Linked DNA regions of Sus scrofa. The protein of the gene in region 2 binds, or shares a complex with, the protein of the main gene of each other region. Links are inferred from orthologs where the notes say so. Each region holds a gene or a part of one and is shown on either strand. Other genes may lie near its edges.

The links.
Region 1: APBA1 (region 2) and LIN7C share a complex: the UniProt entries of both Homo sapiens proteins name them as parts of the brain-specific heterotrimeric complex. The link is inferred for Sus scrofa from reciprocal best matches to the Homo sapiens genes APBA1 and LIN7C.

What each region holds. Positions count from the first base shown.
Region 1 is NC_010444.4:32,843,596-32,847,989, reverse strand, and holds the start of LIN7C (protein lin-7 homolog C), read right to left. Parts: upstream 3,063-4,394; 5' UTR 2,768-3,062; coding exon 2,731-2,767; intron 1-2,730. UniProt on the Homo sapiens protein: Plays a role in establishing and maintaining the asymmetric distribution of channels and receptors at the plasma membrane of polarized cells.
Region 2 is NC_010443.5:222,836,445-222,840,259, forward strand, and holds part of APBA1 (amyloid beta A4 precursor protein-binding family A member 1), read right to left. Parts: exon of another isoform or gene 1,615-3,815; 5' UTR 1,546-1,614; coding exon 346-1,545; intron 1-345. UniProt on the Homo sapiens protein: Putative function in synaptic vesicle exocytosis by binding to Munc18-1, an essential component of the synaptic vesicle exocytotic machinery. May modulate processing of the amyloid-beta precursor protein (APP) and hence formation of APP-beta.

The DNA.
Region 1 (4,394 bases), on a different chromosome or scaffold from region 2:
GCTGACAGTATTATCAGAAACTATTGAGTCAATAAAAATTTACCTACCATTATTAATAACCAAAGCACTGAATAGTGTAAAACACTGTTAGTGAAATCACTGTTTATTTCCCAAAAGAAAACGTAACGTATACATAAATATGAAAACTCTTCAATAACAGGTGCAGTTAAGTGGCAGAGACACATTTAAAACAGTGATACAAATGACCAGAATTAACTGATTTGTTTTCAACTTAGGATTATTAACACAGTATTTTAATTAAGACAAGCTCAGTTAAATACATGTTAATAAAATACAAAATTAAAAACAGTTTCCTGAATCTAGTCTCAGTAACAGCTGTGTGATCTTGGGCAAATACCTCTCCATGTCTGTTTTTCCACTGCAAAACAGAAATAACATTACCCTTTTTATAAGAATTGTGGACCAGAACAAAAATACATGGTAAGAGCCTGCCATTTAGCAAGCATAAATGTTCTATTACATCAGCACCAAAGAATCATAATGTACACATTTACACTATAAATATATTAAGCATGTTAGGCAACTGTCACTAGGAAGTGTGAGCATAAGTGTTCTATGAATTAAGAAATTTTACATAATTCAGCCATGTTTCAACACCACCTCTACTTTGATTTTTAGCCCCACAGGGGACTAGAGTATCTATTATTCTAAATTCCTTGCCTCCTTCTGTCTTAAATGGAAGAAGTTCTGAATTTTATATTACGCTTAAAGGATTGGAACCTCATAGAATTAGTATAATCTTATTTGTGTTTGTAACTGGCAAACTAGGAATAAATGTAGTGAAGAAAGAAGTAGATTCTTCAATTCCAGGTAATAAAAGCTTAAACTGATGTTAATACAACGTCAACAGACTTTCAGCTTTCTGTCTCCCACCACCAGAACGGCTGGTGAACAGGCAAGTGTTGGTTCATCAAATATTTTGATTTATAAAGCTAGAATATGTAAGGTATATTAAACTCTTCAATTAAGAAAAATTTTAAAAGTAAAATACTCTTTACTGAACCTAAATGTACCCAACATGTGCTCAAATGTGTTCCACTGAACCTTGTTTGATGATTTTGAAGGCATTTAGGATCTTGAACATTTGCACTAATTTTATAATGCAGAACTGCTGGAAGAGTTTCTAAATAGAGTCTGTTAAACAGAATGCTAAATAAGATTTACAGTTGATGTAATCTGACTTTCTTATCCTGCTAAATGGTATCCACTAGTAATTCATCCTACTAAGGTGCTGAGCATTTGGAACCGAAATGAACTCTGAAACAGAAAAAAAAAACAAAGCCATGACTACCACAACTAAATGCCAGAGGTGAAGTTTCACATTTTGTACTGCACTTAAAAACACAAAAGACCGCCAACATGTTAGAAGCCTACAACTGGCTTTCAAAGAAAAACACCTACTCCTGCTAACACCAAACAGATTTGTTCCCATCTACAAAGCACAGTGCCATTGTGCTCAGGAAGAAGATGTCATAGTTTCCCCCTAACTTAGCAAGTCTTCCCAGAGTAGCTACTCCTCTGTCAAAGATGATACTTTAATTAAAGGTCTGGTAGGCTGGAGGAAAACAACATCACTTGTAAAGTAACTTACAAGTAGTGAACACCATAAGGAATAAACAATGTCTAGTGTGCATTTGTTTCTGTAAAGGCACAAGGAAAGAGTTCACCAACTACAATAATTCTAAAAATGCATTCTCTCCTTAGAGCGGAAGTTACTTAACACTCAGACAGTAAATGCAAAAGTTAATATCTGCAAGATATTTTCAATCTCCATCCTATACTTTATCACTAGTACTCCATATGTGTACTTCATACTTTTTGACTCTTACGACTCCTAATACTAGCATGTCAAAAGTATGCATGAAGTTATTTGAAAAAAAGGACTTGGGAGGAAAGAGGGGAATGCTGAAAATCTTCAACAGGCCTCTTCTAGGCTCATAGCTATGTACTTTAACTGGCTTTTCGATTTCCAGTCATTCAGCAGAAAGGTTTTATTTTCCTTGACAGCCTGCTCTACAAAGCAAGCACCCAGCCAGTTAGCAATTGTAGGATTTGTAAAGAAGGAAAAAAACTACACTATTAAGTATTTTACAATCTACCACAATTCCAACTAGTTATGTAACCTTCTTCCCTGGACATTAGTAAGATTGTTTTTAAAGCACCTTCTCCGTACGGGGAGGGGGACCACAGCCAGAACACAACCCGATAGAAATACAAGTGGGGTTGTGGTCGAAGTAACGACAGCGTTCGTGCATAAATAAGGTGGGTTCTGTGGCAATGTACTGTGAAGCCGGGCTGTGTGAGTAAGGCGGGGACACTGGATTGTGCACAGGTCAATACGGGCAGTGAGTGTAGTCTGTACAACTGGGCGTGTGATGTTTGCTTAGCTAGACACGTCTCCGAACGCTGCGTCTGCCATACCCATCCAGAGAACGCGTGTGCAGAGTGTGTTTGCGAACGCAGACAGGTGGGGTCGAACAGTACTGTGCTTCGCGACTGTCCGTGTGAATAGAGGTGGGTCTGGGTATCAGTCAAGAGCAGCAAGCTCTCCCCCTGGGGCCAGGCGCAGCAACGTCGGCGGCCACCGGCGCCAGCGCGAAGAAAAGACTGATTCCAGATCTCAGAGCTTAGCTGCCCCCCACCCCCACGGCGGAAAGGCACTCCCCCACCTTCTCCGTCCACGACAGTCCCGGCCTAGTCCCCACTCACCCCTCTCCAGTCGCACAGGTTCCCCCAACGCCGCCATCTTCTCCCTTTGCCTGCAGACCCACAGGAAATGACGATAGAGGGGCTGCGGTGGAGGGGCGGGGCTTAGCAGGAGCCGGGAGCAACCGAGCCAGTATCGCGAGAGCGGGAGCAACCGAGCTGGGGCTCGCGGGGATCTTCCCGTGGGCTGAGCGGGCTCCAGAGGGTGGCCTTGGGCTGCATCTTCAGTGCTTGTCAGGTTCTCCAATCCCCCGGCCTCCTATAGTTGAAAAGAGTCTCCCTCCCAATTCTTTCCCCATTCTTAGCTATCCCACCCGTTTGCAACCCTTGGCTCCATGTGGTGGAGTCTGGATTCTTGTTACCCCTTGGTTCTGTGAGCCTGGACTGCTCACTTACCTTCTTTCGGCCTCAGTCTTCCCCTCTGTCGGACAAAGAGTCCGATCTCCGATTTCTTTAGATTCTAAGTGAGATTCGGTGACGTGTGTAAGTGAGATATTATAAATTCCGCATTTGTGGCTCCATTGCTTTAATTAATTTACCAATCCAAGGCATAGATCTTCCCTAGAAATCTGAGAATAAGGATAGAAAGTACGGAGTTCCCCGTCCTGGCGCAGCGGAAACGAATCCTACTAGGAACCATGAGATTTCGGGTTCCATCCCTGGCCTTGCTCGGTGGGTTAAGAATCCGGCATTGCTGTGAGCTGTGGGCTCAGATCTGCCATTGCTGTGGCTGTGGTGTAGGCCTGCAACTACAGCTCCAATTAGACCCCTAACCTGGGAACCTCCATATGCCCTGGGTGCGGCCCTAAAAAACACAAAAGGCAAAAAAAAAAAGGATGGAAAGTGCAAAAGTCATGAAACACTCTTGGGTGAGTGAGAAAACAAGACACTTGGGTGCATCTCAAAGTAGGAATTTTTAAAAGCTCATCAAAAACCTTATATAAATGAAATATTAGGAAGCAAATAATATTCTTAAAACACTCTAGATTCTTAGGACTACTTTTGAAAATTTCATGAGCCAAAACCAATTTTAGGCCTTAATTTGAGTGTGAAATATTAATTTGCCCAGCATTTCAATTCCACTAGTATTTATTCAAGCTCCAGTCTGCACTGCTAATCTGTGGGGTGCTCTTACAAAGGAGTGTTTAACACTTCATGACAAGATGGTTTTAACGACCTCTCTGTTGCCCCATACATCCTTTCCATTCAACTATAGTATTTTCTTCTCTTCCATCATGAATGCCACCATTAGACTCTTTTTTCCCCCTTGAACCCTGATTCCATCATCAAAGGTTACTGCTCAAAAACTTTCAATGGCTTCCCCCCCCCCAATTCCTATTCCTAAAGCCTTGCAAACTCTGATCCTAACTCATCTAACCTCATTTCTCATCCCTCAAATGGAATAACCACTCCAGTAGAGGTGGAATGTTTAAAACCATGCTTCTTCTTGCTTCCAAGTCTTCATTTATTTTGTACTTATGTAGAATGCCTTTCTTCATCGCTTCTAGTTTTCCATACTCTGTACATCCTCAAACTGAACCCATCCTCCAGGTCTGTGGAAGATATGCCACTTCCACTAAGTTTCCCTTTTGGCCATTCTGTTTCCCTTCTTTGGTCCTTAATGGCCCTTATGTCCTGCAAAAGCATTCATGTACTTTTCATCTCTT
Region 2 (3,815 bases):
TTGTTTACTGGATGCTAGCAATGCAAATTTTTAGGCTCTGCCCCGCCCCTTCTAAGTGAGAAACTGGGGAACAGGGAGTAGTGGAAATCGATTTCTGAACAAGCGCTCCAAGGGCTGTTTGAGAAACACTGATTTATGCAACCTCTCCTCACTTCATCCCCTCCCACCTGTATTTCACTCACTGGGGCTTTAGTGCAAGCTGTCTCTGAAGCTTACGGTGGACACGATTTTTAGCGTCCCCACTGATCATTTATCTCATCAAGTCATCTCCCAATGACCACCCAGCGCCCGTCTCCCAGAAGACCGCGCCTAGAGCTGGGCAAGTCCGAATCCGCACACACTTACATCTCCATCCACCGGCCTCTGGTCGTCACAATCCTTGGTGGGACTAATATCCTGGCGCATGACCCAGATGGGCTCTTTGGGCTCGTCGGGGGTGTAAGGCGAACGGATGGTCCTGGTTTTCACTTCCTCGATGGCCTCCTTGATGTCCTTGATGGCCAGCGAGATGGCATCCCTTTTCTCCTTGCTGTACCGCTGCACCGCCTCGCTGCCCACGGTACCCGCCAGCCGCTGTTGCCCCGCCAGGGTCTGCAGGCCAGGGCTGTCGGGGCGGCCCCCGCCTGGGGTAGGAGCACGCTCCAAGTCCTGCTCGGCCTCGGGCATGTCCTCGGCTGCTTTGTCGAGGCTCTGTGAGCTCATGCTCTGCTTGACCTCAGCCACGATCTGGTCGATGTCCTCCTCCTGCTCGTAGCTGTCCATGCGCGGGTAGGGCGCGAACTCGGCCTCCTTCTCCGGGCTATCAGACTCGCCGTCGGAGCGTTCATCATAGTGGTGTAGCCGCGCGCCCAGGGCCTCCTGGCGATACGCAGCTGCTTCGTCGCGCTCCTGCTCGTACAGCCTCAGGCCGTCGTGCCCGTCCAGCTCGGGCGCGTCTCCGATCTCCTCGTACACGTGCTCCTGGAGGCCCCCGTAGTCGGCGTAGGGTTCAGCGTAGGGCTCGTCCTCGCCGCGGTGGAAGAGCCGGTGCGTGTAGACGTAACCCGAGTATGCAGCGTTCATGGCCTCCTCGTGTTCCAACGAGTGGAAGTGCAGGTGGTTGGGCAGTGTGCGGCGGTGCGTGGCCTCCGCATGCTCGGCCTCCGCCTGCTCCGTGTACTCCTCGGCCTCGGGTCGGTACTGCACGGCGTATGCGCTCTCGTCCTCTGGGTCCTGCGCGCGCTCGGCGTCGTAGCCGTCGCGGGCCGCGGCAATAACGTCGCCCTCAGCGGTGTCCGTGTGGTTGTGAAAGCCGCTCTCGGTGCTGGCAGAGCGCGCCAGGCACTCCCCGCGCTCCTCCTCTTCCTGCTGCTGCCCGGGCGATGCTCGGAGGTCTTCGACAGCGCGCCCGCGCGAGGGTCGGCCCCCATAGTGCTGCTGCTGCTGCTGCTCCTCCTCCACTTCGGGGTGCTCCAGGTCGGCCTCTACCAGCTCGTTCACCTCCCCGCCTGGCGCCTCGTCGGTCACTTCCACCTCCGCCTCCGCGGCCCCCTCCAAGTGGTTCATGGTGGGCGTCGGGGACGGCTGGGAGAGAGGTTGGGCCGGCTCAAAGCGCTCTCATTTTGTTCTGCCCGGCTGGAAAAACAAGAAGGGAGGGGTTGTTAACGTGGTTCAGACTGTAGTCAGAAGCTGAGTACCAAGATAACCATAAAACTAGCTGTTATTGATCCCTTCTGAATCAGGGTCAATTAAAAAGTGATTGCAAATGTAAGCTCATTCTGACGGCACGTAGTTCATCTTCGTAGCACGTGTCGTAATTTGTAATTACATAGCTCCTTGTTTAATTGCTTACTGGCTTTCTCCCTTCCCCACCCGTCTAACTGAGAGCCTCCTGAGCCTTTAGTTCCCCCACAGCTTACTATTCAGGTTCTGTTTCTGATGCATTTGAATAGAGAGTACTACTAAATTGAATGAGGCAATTGACACATTTTCCATCTGCTAAGAGATAAATCTCTGTAAATTAAACTAGGATCCTAGATACTCTAGAAACGATTCTTTAAATAATTTCAAGGGAAAAAATAATCTTGGAATGTTTTGAAGGCATTGCTGTCAATACAAATATGCAGCCGTTCTGAGGGAAGCCAGCAGCAGTATGTTCTAGTTGTGTCATTACTGGCTCTGTTGCCTTGGGTTGAGTGGCTTAATTTTCTGGACCTCCGTTATGAGACTGGACTCATTTCCTACAGCAGGATGTTAACAGTTATTACACAGAAGGGAAAAAAAAAAAAAAAAGACTCCATGGTTAAATAAGTTTGGGAAAGGCCAGCTGAGTGTTGACTTCTCATTATAAATAATTCAAGGGAGGAAGATAGACTGCAGGGTTCCCAAACCTGTCTGACTGGGAAATGCTTTTTTCCTAGAGGCCAGTGTTCTGAGACGTGCACTTAACAGAAACACTGACTAGCTGACTTCTAATACTCACTTCCCTCATACACCTAAAAATCTTTGATTCTATGAATTAGCATTATAGCTAATAACTAGATAACATGCTAATTTCTTTAAAATATAGGTAGATCTCTTTCCCTATTTCCAAAGGGACTTGTGGCTTTAGAGATAGCTTTGGTTTCAACCTCTCTCAATTCTTCTTACCACAAAAGAGCTTTGTAGCATAATCTGCACAGCATATGGAAATAAACACAAAGGACATAAAGAACAACAAAAAACAGGCAGGATCCCTAAGATTTCAAGACACTTGTGGTTTCAACAACATGTGTAAACTTTTCTCAAAGTTCTTTTGGAGAGCTCATCTTACAAATGGAAAAAACTGGGACTTGAACTCTTTAACAGCAGAAAGCTCCAGGAGGACCAGGGACATCTGATTGACTCTCTAATATTGGGATGCATTATATTCTACTCAATTCCCATCACAACTGTAGCAATTTCCTTCAAGCACTATGACAGTCCCAGTAGTGGGTGAGAGCATTGTGGAGCTACCAAGGTCATGTTTAGCAGGAGTTTTGAGGTAGGAGGTAGATGAACCCCTGGGCTGAGGACAGCTGGGATTTGTTAGGCCAAGTAAATTGGGCCTTGTTTCCCCTCTGACACTTCAAGGAAAAAGTTAATTGCAGGAGCTGAGCTCTGCTGGAGTAGAAAGATAAGATGACCACCTCAATCACTCCTGGGGTCAAGGAGAGCGCTCCAATTACACATGTGCAATAAGACTCCTAGGGGTCAGAAAGGGAGGGGGCGCCAGGCCATAATAAGTCCCCATACTGTCCAGGCACCCTTTGCTCTGGAATCCATCTTTGTCAAAAGATGCACATGCATATTGGGGAGGGTCCTGTGTCCTTTCAGGTGTGAGAAATGAAAGAAGAAAACTGGCCAAAGGTAAACAAAGACCTGGGAGAACTGTCCTATGTGAGTTAAATCACCAGAAAGAGGAGTGCAGTTTCGGGTTCCTCACTCAGGGGGATGCCTGCACCTACACTCCTCTTTAGGGTGTGTATTACTTCTTTGCTTCTGACTTAAAAAACTACTTAACTGTGTGCTCTCCCACATGTATTGTGACTCTAACAATAAACTTTATACCTATCTTCACAGTCTTTGCCACCTTGAAACATTCTTGCTTTCAACAGGGGACAAGAATCAGGGCAATTCTACTTTTAGCCTCTAGCAGGTCCAGTGGCTAGGATTCCTGGTTTTTCATCCAGGCTGCCCAGGTTCAATTCCTGAGCAGAGAATTAAGAGCTTGCTTCAAGCCATTACTCACTGCTGTATCTCCGAGATCAGTATCATCTCTCTCCCCTGTTATTTGATGGCTCCACACCTAACACTTA